Linked DNA regions of Coturnix japonica. The protein of the gene in region 1 interacts with the protein of each later gene in a pairwise test. Links are inferred from orthologs where the notes say so. Each region holds a gene or a part of one and is shown on either strand. Other genes may lie near its edges. The genes, in order: NAB2 and PHOSPHO2.

Region 1 (4,447 bases):
GCATCCTGGTCCAGATGTCCTTCCAGCTGGGGCTGCGTGTGTTGGTGTAGCAGAAATGATGGGAGGCGTCATGGCAGAACGCGGAGCCCTCCTGCAGCGGGGTCACCTCCTCCAGCCCCTTCCCCAGCACCGTCCCCATCCCACCGGCATCTTCACAGCACAGAAAGGAAGGAAGAATTAACACAATAGCGATGCGAGACCCCCCCCCCCCAACACCCCCTCCCCATTTGCGGGCTGCTCCCCCCCAAAGGGCCCCATTGGGTGCACATGGAGGCAGGACCACCCCTTAACCAGGACCCCAACACAGGACCCCCAACCAACGGCACCCTCAACACCCCCCCATTCTCGCACTCTCCATCCCCCCATCTCACACCGCCCTTAACCCAGACAGCCCTCAACCCGAGACCCCCAACCCCTCTCCCCCATCTCATCCATTTCCCCCCCGTTTCCCCCAGCCCCACACAGACCCCAACCCGGACCATACTCACTCCCCCCCCCCATCTTCCATCTCCATTCTCCATCTCCCATCCCCCTGGTTCCCCCCAGTCCCGCCCTCACCCGGGGACCCCCACCACCCCCCATCTCCACCGCATTCCCCCAGCCCACAACCAGAGCCCTTACACCGGACCAGGCCCCCAAACCCGGAGACCCCAACCCCCCGCCATCCCCACCCGAGACTCTAAAGCCGGATCCAGGCTATGGCCGCTCTATGACTCCATTATAGGCCCCCACTAGGCCCGCCCGCTCTCAGCCCATAAAGGCCCATTGTTCCGCCCGCCGCTCACCGGCCCCGCCCGGCGGAGGAGGCAGCGCGAGGAGCAGCAAGAAACACGACCAGGCCCCGCCCGCCATATTGGCACCGCTTTCATCCGCTTTCCCGCCATGGCGTTCCCGGCGACTTCCGCTTCCGCTTTCCCCACGGGACAACACCCAATGAGAGAGCGAGGCTTGCCTGACGTCATCAACCCGTGACGGGATTATCGTCTCCCTGCGTGTTGATTGACAGCGCGCTCGACCTATCAGCACAGCCTAGGCAGGATGCGGATTTAGCCCCACCCACACTCCACCAACGTGCTCCACTCGCTCCCGAAGCCATCCCACACCGTAGGCAACGCAGCCCGCCTTAGCAACGAGCTTGGACAGAGCAAGCCCACCTCAACCAATCAGCCGCTCAGCATCGTTTTCTCCCTCCCTCGCCACCAAGCCGGCTTGATTGACAAGCTCCTCCACCTTATTCACGGAGCGCACCGTCGTTGTTTTGCTTGGGGGGGGGGGTCTACAGCGGGCAGAGGCAGCGCGATGCTCATTGGACCCCACACTGGGGGGGGGGTGGCTCGTAGGGGCTGGATCCCGGGCTTGTTAACCCCCCCCCCCCAATACCCTTGGGCTCTTCGGCATTCCGTGGGCGGGTCGGGCTCACGGGCCGGCCCCCGGGTCAGTGGGCGGCGGAGCCGGAAGCGTGCGGGTCGTGGTGGAGGATGTGCGTCAAACGGGGGCGGCCGGACACGAGGGGGGGGGGGGGGTTGGACATGCATGGCCCTGGGGGGGGGGTCTTAGGGATTCGGACATAGATGGGGTCTATATGGGGTTCGGAATATATGGGCTCTATATGGGCTCTATATGGGCTGTTCCGAACGGGACCCCCCCCCACCTCCCCCCGACGGCTCCGGAACGCGGCGCTGTCGTGTCCCCCCCCCCCACGCGGGGCAGGGGCCGCGGGGGCGGCGGCGCCGGCTCGGTATAAATAGAGCCGGGCTCAGCATGGGGGGGGGGGGGCGATGGCAGAGAAATTCCTCCCCTCCCACGAACCGAACCGGACCCGCTCTGTCCCGGGGCTGCTCGCTCTGAAGCCCCCCCCCCACCCGGTGCCCGGACCCGGCTGCGATCCCATAACCGGGAGGTGGCACCGACACGGTGACAGCCGTGATCCCACTCACATACGGTGTCCCCCCCCCACCCCCCGTAGGCTCCGGTTGCTCGAGCCCCTGCCCGGGACCCCCAACCCCCGTGTCTTCACGTTGCTCTGCCCGACGGGACCCCCCGGTTCCGCCCTGCTCGCAGCCGCTCCCTCCGTCCCGGTTCGGTTCAGGGGGGGGGATGGGGCGGTCCTACGGTTCCCCCCCCCCCGTTTCATCCTCCCACGCCGCGCTCAGCGGGGGCGGCAGCCGCGGGTTCCGCCTCCGGAGCCTCCCACGCCGCAGCCGCAGCCGGGGCCGCTGCTATTTCTCGGTACCGCCCGTGTGGGCGGCGCGCAGAGCGGAGCGACTCGGCGGAGCGAACGAGCACGGCCCGGAATCGGGACCCCCGAACACCCCCCCGAGCCCCCCGGTACCGTCCGTCCATGCCCACGGGGTTCGCGTAGCGGCCGGACGGGGCTGCAGCCCGCGGTGAGAGAACGGGAGGGAAACGGGGGGGGGGTCGGAGGGTGAGTCGTGACATCGGTGTCCCCGTGGGGTTGGGGTAGAGCTGGGTGTGTTTTGTTGCACGTGGGGTGGGGGCACGAGTGGGTTCGTGATGTGGGAATGGTGGGGGGGGGTTTATGGTTCTGCCGTGGGGACCCACTCGTGTCTGTGTTGGGATCAGGGGGGATGCGGGTGTGGGGTCCAGCCTGATCAGTGAGCACGCGTGGGCCTGGGTGCAAGGTGGGGTCTGTAGGGGCCAAAGAGGGGGGGGCTGAGACTTTGCTGTCCCCGTGGGGTAGAGAAGGACTGGGGCAGCCCTGGGTGTGCTCTGCCCTAAGCGGTGCCCCATGGGGTGGGAGCACGGGTGGGGCCACGGGGTGTGGGGTCTCCAAGCTCCTCAATGGGGACCCACTCGTGTTTGTGTTGGGGTCGGTGCAGCTGTGGATGCTCAGTGGAGACCCCAGGCCAAAAGGTGGGTGGGGGTGGGGGGGGTCCGTCCGTCCGTCCTTCCCCCGTCACGCCGTCCGTCCGTCTGTCCCATAGGCTTCACCATGGCCGTGCCCCGCACGCTGGGGGAGCTGCAGCTGTACCGGGTTCTTCAACGTGCCAACCTGCTGGGTTACTACGAGACCTTCATCCAACAAGGAGGGGACGACGTGCAGCAGCTTTGCGAGGCTGGCGAGGAGGAGTTCTTAGAGATCATGGCGCTGGTGGGAATGGCCACCAAACCGCTGCACGTCCGCCGACTGCAGAAAGCGCTGCGGGAGTGGGCGTCCAACCCGGGGCTCTTCAGCCAGCCGGTACCGGCCGTGCCCGTCAGCAGCATCCCCCTCTTCAAGCTGAACGACGGCCGCAAATCGCTCAGTAACGGGCACAGCAGCCCCGGAGAAACTGCGGGGAAAGGGGGGGGCAACGCGGGGACGCCCCCAGCCCGCAGCCCAACGGAGCCGTCGGAGAAGTTGTCGCCGTCGGGGGTGTCGCCGTGGCCGGGGAGGAGCACCCCGGAATCGGAGGGTGGAGGGGATGAGGAGCCCGGAGCTCCTCCGTTCTCACCGGGGGGCGCCGAGCAGCCGTCGGGGGGCGATGTGTTGGAACCGGAGTTGGTGCGGACGGTGACGGAGAGCGTGGAGAGGCTGCTGCAGAGCTGCCCCCGGGGGGGGGACGCGGAGCTGCGGGCTCTGTTGAAGCTCAATAAGAAGTTGGCCAAAGCCGTGGGGCACATCTTCCAACTGGAAGACGGAGACCGGCACAAGGAGGAGGAGATCCGACGGCACAGCGCGATCTACGGGCGAGGGGATGCGCGGCGAAGGGAGGGCAAACAGCTGACACTGCACGAGGTGGGGGGCGGGGTGGGGGTCGGGCTGGGCTGGGGGCTCGCTGTGACCCCCCCCCTCGGTGCTATTGACGGCTCTGTCCCCGCAGCTCATCATTAACGAGGCTGCGGCTCAGTTCTGCCTGCGGGACAATTCGCTGCTGCTGCGGCGCGTCGAGCTGTTCTCGCTGTCGCGACAGGTCGCGAGGGAGAGCACCTACCTGTCCTCGCTCAAGGTGTCCAGGTGAGCAGGGGGGGCCCTCAGCATCCCCCCCCCCCCCCAGTGGGGGTTTCCCCTATGGGAGCTGCACCACCGGCAATTCCGGGCGGGGGTGGGGGCTGCGAGTTCCCCTTTCCATTGCTGAGGCAGTTTGGTGCCTCAATGTGTGTGTGTTGGGGGGGGGGGCACAGCACAGGGGATGCTGTTGGAGCCCCCAGTCCCGAGCTCCTTTCCCCCCCCCCACCTCCATAAGCTGGCGCTGCTCTGCTCCCTCCCCCTGCCCCCCCCGCCCCGGTTCCATCTGTACCAGACCCCGCTGTGCCCCACAGCACCGCCCCATAACGTGAGTGGGGGGGGGGAACCGTGCGGTGCTGCCCCCGCACTGACGCAGCCCTTTGTGCTCCCACCCGCACAGGGCGCAGCCCGAGGACGGCGGGGCCGGCGCGGCCAAGCGGCTCAAACAGGAGGTGGGTGCGGGGGGGGGATGCGTGTATCGGGGGGGGGCACACGCGT
Region 2 (4,364 bases), on another chromosome or scaffold:
GCAAGGCACCTATATTAAGAAATTAAATTACTTTATTTATAATACCTTTAGTAAAGTCTACCTATTCAACACTGAAAGTACAGCATGAATATGCCAATGAGTTTATCTAACCATACCTATTTTTGGCCAATACTTCCTACACGTCCCTCCTAATAGCAAGATTCTAGGCAGTCTCTGAATGATACAGCACTTCACTGCAACAAAAAATATAGGGAACACCTATTTGCTAAATCAGATAATAAAAAAACAAAAACAGGAGCAATACAAGGAGATGAAGAAGTGGAGTGGGTGGGCCAGATTTTGGCAGGAAGAGATGAGAGGCAGCCAGAAGGCTGGGTTTGGTAGAAGCAGTGCTTCATGTAGACGAGGTGCATGTGTTATGAATACTCATGTTCTTCTGCAGAATAAAACAGGAACGCCAGGATAAAATTGTTAGTCAATTAGCTGCCCAAATGAATGTAGCACTGAAGATGGAAGATGAGCGTCTTGCTAGAGACATTGCAAGAAAAGAAGCTGCGTATGAAAAAGAACAGAAAGAGAAAGAAGCAAAAAAAAAGGCTGCCATTGAATCTATTGCTGAATATAGAGCCACTGTGGTAAGAAAGCTAACCTGTTCTCATCCCTGTCTCTGGCGTGTACTTAGGAGTACCTTCTAGGAACACTGTGGTTTTTAGTGTGCTAACTGTTAGTGAGACATACCCACAAGTTATCAGGAGCTGTCTCTCATATTTACCATTTACAGTTATACATCTAACACCTTAAGCAAGCCACAAGGTACCTGGGTTCATCTGTTTGAGTTTGAAAGTTCTGTAATCATTAGTAATTTGTGCAAATACTTCTCAGTCTCATCCCTGCTTCCTGAGGCCAAGGAGTCTGTCAGTGCTGCCAGAAACTGGGCCTGGACAGAGTGTAGCTGCCATGACCCAGCACATCAGAGCACTGGTGTGGGACTGCATTGTTATTGCATCTGGATCTAGCCTGGAGGCATGGCTCCTCAGACTAGCAGGGTAACTATCTGGTTAACCCCCTCTATTTTATAAAATGCAGGTGAAGAGGAAATTGGAGAAGGAGAGAGAGGAAAAAGCAGAAAGTAAAAAAGAACTTCAATCATTTGTGGAAAAGAACCAGATCTATCTACAAACAGAAAAAGCCAAGAAACAAAGACAACGTGATGCAAGCATAGAAGTACAGAAATTTCAGATCCAGCAAATGGTAAATGGAAGTGCCATACCCTTCCAGAGCCTTAAAAAGGAGCATGAACCTGACAGTGTTAGTCAGTGTGGGAGTCACCCATGCAAACCCTTTCCTGTCAAGGAGTGTTGCATGAGTGAAGGCTGGTTTGCAATGACACATCACATCCCATTCTGTGTCATTATGTATGGCTGCTGTCCCCTGGTGTCTTCTGGGCAGATCCTCAAGGAACAGCAGCAAATGCTGATGCTTATTCAGCTACTCAGTGTACACTTTCCTGTGGTGAGGTGAACCAGGAATGAACTGGGGAAGGACTTACCCTCTCTAAATTTTAACAGACAATTCTGTTGTAAAAAAAATACTAAGCTTTGTTATTCTCTATTTGTTTACTTTCCATAGAATCATAGAATCACCAAGGTTGGAAAAGACCTAAAAGATCATCTAGTCCAACTGTTCACCTATAATATCTCCCACTAAAGAAATAACCTAATAGCTCCCACTAAACCATGTCACTCAACACAACATCCAGTCTTTCCTTGAATACCCCCATGGTCGGTGACTCCACCACCTCCCTGGGCAGTCCATTCCAATGCCTGACCACCCTTTCTGAGAAGTAATGCCTCCTAATGTCCAGCCTGAATCTCCCCTGCTGTAGCTTGAAACCATTCCCTCTGGTCCTATCACTAATGACACAAGACTTTTCTTCCTCAGGCAGAAAAGAAGGCAAAAATACAGCAGGAGAAGCAAGCAGACTTGGACTACGATATTGAGACAGAGCTTATTGCGCTCCATAGAGAACAAGAATTTCAGAAGTATGCAAAGCAAGTAATTGAATCAGAGTCCAAGACTACACATCATCTCTATCCTCTCCTGAAAGCTTCCAAAGAAATAATAGGATTTGGAGGTAGCCCATTTTCCATAGAAAGTGAAGGAACAAATCCAGGTTTTCAAGCACAGGATGCTGCTGAGACCCAGTTACCTTGTTGTAGCAAGACTACTGCTGAAGAAGTTTAACCTATGAACGAACACTGAGACTATCCAGCAAGGAAAGGCAAAAGTAGTTTTTATGTGGTTAAAAACAAAAAACAACCAACTTCTGGAACCTTGAATCTTCCATCAAAACTGTAAATGGATCTACATTAAATTTGTGCTATGAATCTGAAAGTCCCTTTGAAAAAAATAAATTCTGTAGAATTAAGTATGTTCTAAAAAAAACACCAACTTGTATTTTATAAAAGTTGTAAGCTGTTTCTTTGCTGAAATATTTCCATCACATTTCACGTGATGTGAACAGAGTTATGGTTTCATATAATAACAAATCATAATAGGAATGCATTACATATAATTTTGAGCATCAACATTACCCATTCCAGCCAAAGGCCCTCTCAGAATCAGCAGGGCAAGAATGCACACAAAAGTCAGAATACTTACGTTACTGCAGTTTCTGTAGTGCTTTGCAACTGTCTCTGTAAAATTAATGTTTTGCTGCAAATAGTCTTGTAGAAGTAAGGATGTAAGCTGGTCAGAGACAAATTTGGTTATCCAGAAGACAAGTAAGTCCCAATGTAGTTATAAACAGTTATGACAAAAATACCGTGGCAATAAGAAACAACACAGTTTGATGGTTCTTGCAAAAAAGAATAACGTGCAATCTGCAGTAGGCAAATTCAGATCTAAAACTGTTTCTCAGGGAGCACAGAACTCTTTGGAGCTTACTCTGTTGCACAAAGCCACACACACATCACACTTCTTGAGATTTTCTTTGCATTTCTATTGTGCGAAGTGGGCAGAGTTAGGATTTCATGTAACAACTTCTGCATTATCCTGGGCTCTGAACAAGACATTTCCACTTTGATCTTCCATGCAGGAGAAAGGGGAGAACTTAGGAACGATGAGGACGAGCCCTGTCGCTCCGCTCCCGCGTTCAGGCCCGGCAGGGCGGCTCCCGCCTGATGCATCCCTAGGGCCCGCCAGCAGCGCCGGGGCGGGGCCGTGCCGCCATCGGAGCCAGGGCGTTCCCATCTCTTCACTGCTGTTGTCGTGTCTCTGCCCGGTAGTGCTGCCCGCTGCCTCAGAGCCGTGCGGGGCCGAGGCGCTCCCGCTCTGGAAACAGAGAAAAGAGCGCGTCCGTCGGGGCGGCTGTCACCGCTGGTGAAGAACCGGGAACCTGATTTTCTTTGTCTCGGCGGAAGCTGCCGATGGAGCACGAGCAGCCGGGCGCCGAGCAGCGGGAGGTGGAGCGGGAGCACGGCCGCTACATGGAGCGCCGGGCGGTGGCCAGAGAGCAGCTGGCGCAGTGAGTCGGGGCCTCGGGGCGTCCCGAGTCGGGGCTCGTGTTAAAAAGCCTGTCGGATGTCAGCAATGCCCACGGGCCGTGTCTCGGGCTGCCCGCCATCGGCACGGTGATGCCGCGCTGGACGGAGGGACCGCGTGTGCTCGAGCCGCCCGTTGTAACGCGCTACGTTCAGCCCCGCTGCTGCGGTGGGCCGGGAAGCACAGAAACGCTGCTGAAGTCAGTTCTGCGGCTCCAGAAACGCCTTTTGCTGGCGGTGGCAACGTCTGCTCAAGTCAGCTAAACAAAGGGAGTGGTGTTCTGGTGCCGAGAACAAGCGGTTTGTCTCCCTGGGGCAAAACTTGTCATTCTTGTCGTTTCCCCACAGTGATTCATACATCAGTGTGACGGGGTGGGCTGATGACCGCTCCTGTGCCTCGGCCCGCGCTGTAGCATTGCTCAGAAGGCTGTGCTCTAAAGCTGAACTTGTGCAGGGAGCGGGCCAGCTGTTGAACAAGTGAATCGAATGCAGGCTGTCATTCAAGTCCATTTGCTGGTCACGTTTGCTTTTGCTAGGATTAACTTAATCAGTAAATTTCTACTCTTACTTTTTGTGCTGGTGCTCAGCTTTGTTGCTACTGTTTTAAAAAACATGATTCTATTTTGATCAGATGTTCTGCTTTCACTTCAAAGTATCAGATTGTTCAATGTTCAAGTACCTGTAGATGTGAAGTATTCCAATCTGTTCCCTGTGTCACGAAGTCCCCAGGCCGTTAGCTTTCTTCCTTTTCTGTTTCAGAATAGAGGAGCACAAGCATCTGGCAGACCTGGCCAAGCAGGAAAACAAAAGAGAAGGTGAAAAAATACAAAGGCAGAGCCAGTTGTACCAAATGGAAATTCA

The links.
Region 2: the proteins of NAB2 (region 1) and PHOSPHO2 interact in binary tests that used the Homo sapiens proteins (3 or more experiments, as listed by UniProt). The two-hybrid records come from large-scale screens. The link is inferred for Coturnix japonica from reciprocal best matches to the Homo sapiens genes NAB2 and PHOSPHO2.

What each region holds. Positions count from the first base shown.
Region 1 is NC_029544.1:1,653,822-1,658,268, reverse strand, and holds the start of NAB2 (NGFI-A-binding protein 2), read left to right. Parts: upstream 1-1,578; 5' UTR 1,579-2,387; intron 2,388-2,945; 5' UTR 2,946-2,953; coding exon 2,954-3,739; intron 3,740-3,824; coding exon 3,825-3,958; intron 3,959-4,349; coding exon 4,350-4,401; intron 4,402-4,447. Other genes in the region: NEMP1 (nuclear envelope integral membrane protein 1), read right to left, coding at 1-150, 786-852. UniProt on the Homo sapiens protein: Acts as a transcriptional repressor for zinc finger transcription factors EGR1 and EGR2. Isoform 2 lacks repression ability.
Region 2 is NC_029522.1:16,264,290-16,268,653, reverse strand, and holds the start of PHOSPHO2 (pyridoxal phosphate phosphatase PHOSPHO2), read right to left. Parts: upstream 3,066-4,364; 5' UTR 2,623-3,065; intron 2,407-2,622; exon of another isoform or gene 2,206-2,406; coding exon of another isoform or gene 1,903-2,205; intron 1,213-1,902; coding exon of another isoform or gene 1,048-1,212; intron 597-1,047; coding exon of another isoform or gene 404-596; intron 1-403. Other genes in the region: CCDC173 (coiled-coil domain-containing protein 173), read left to right, coding at 404-596, 1,048-1,212, 1,903-2,205; coiled-coil domain-containing protein 173-like, read left to right, coding at 3,390-3,487, 4,263-4,364. UniProt on the Homo sapiens protein: Phosphatase that has high activity toward pyridoxal 5'-phosphate (PLP).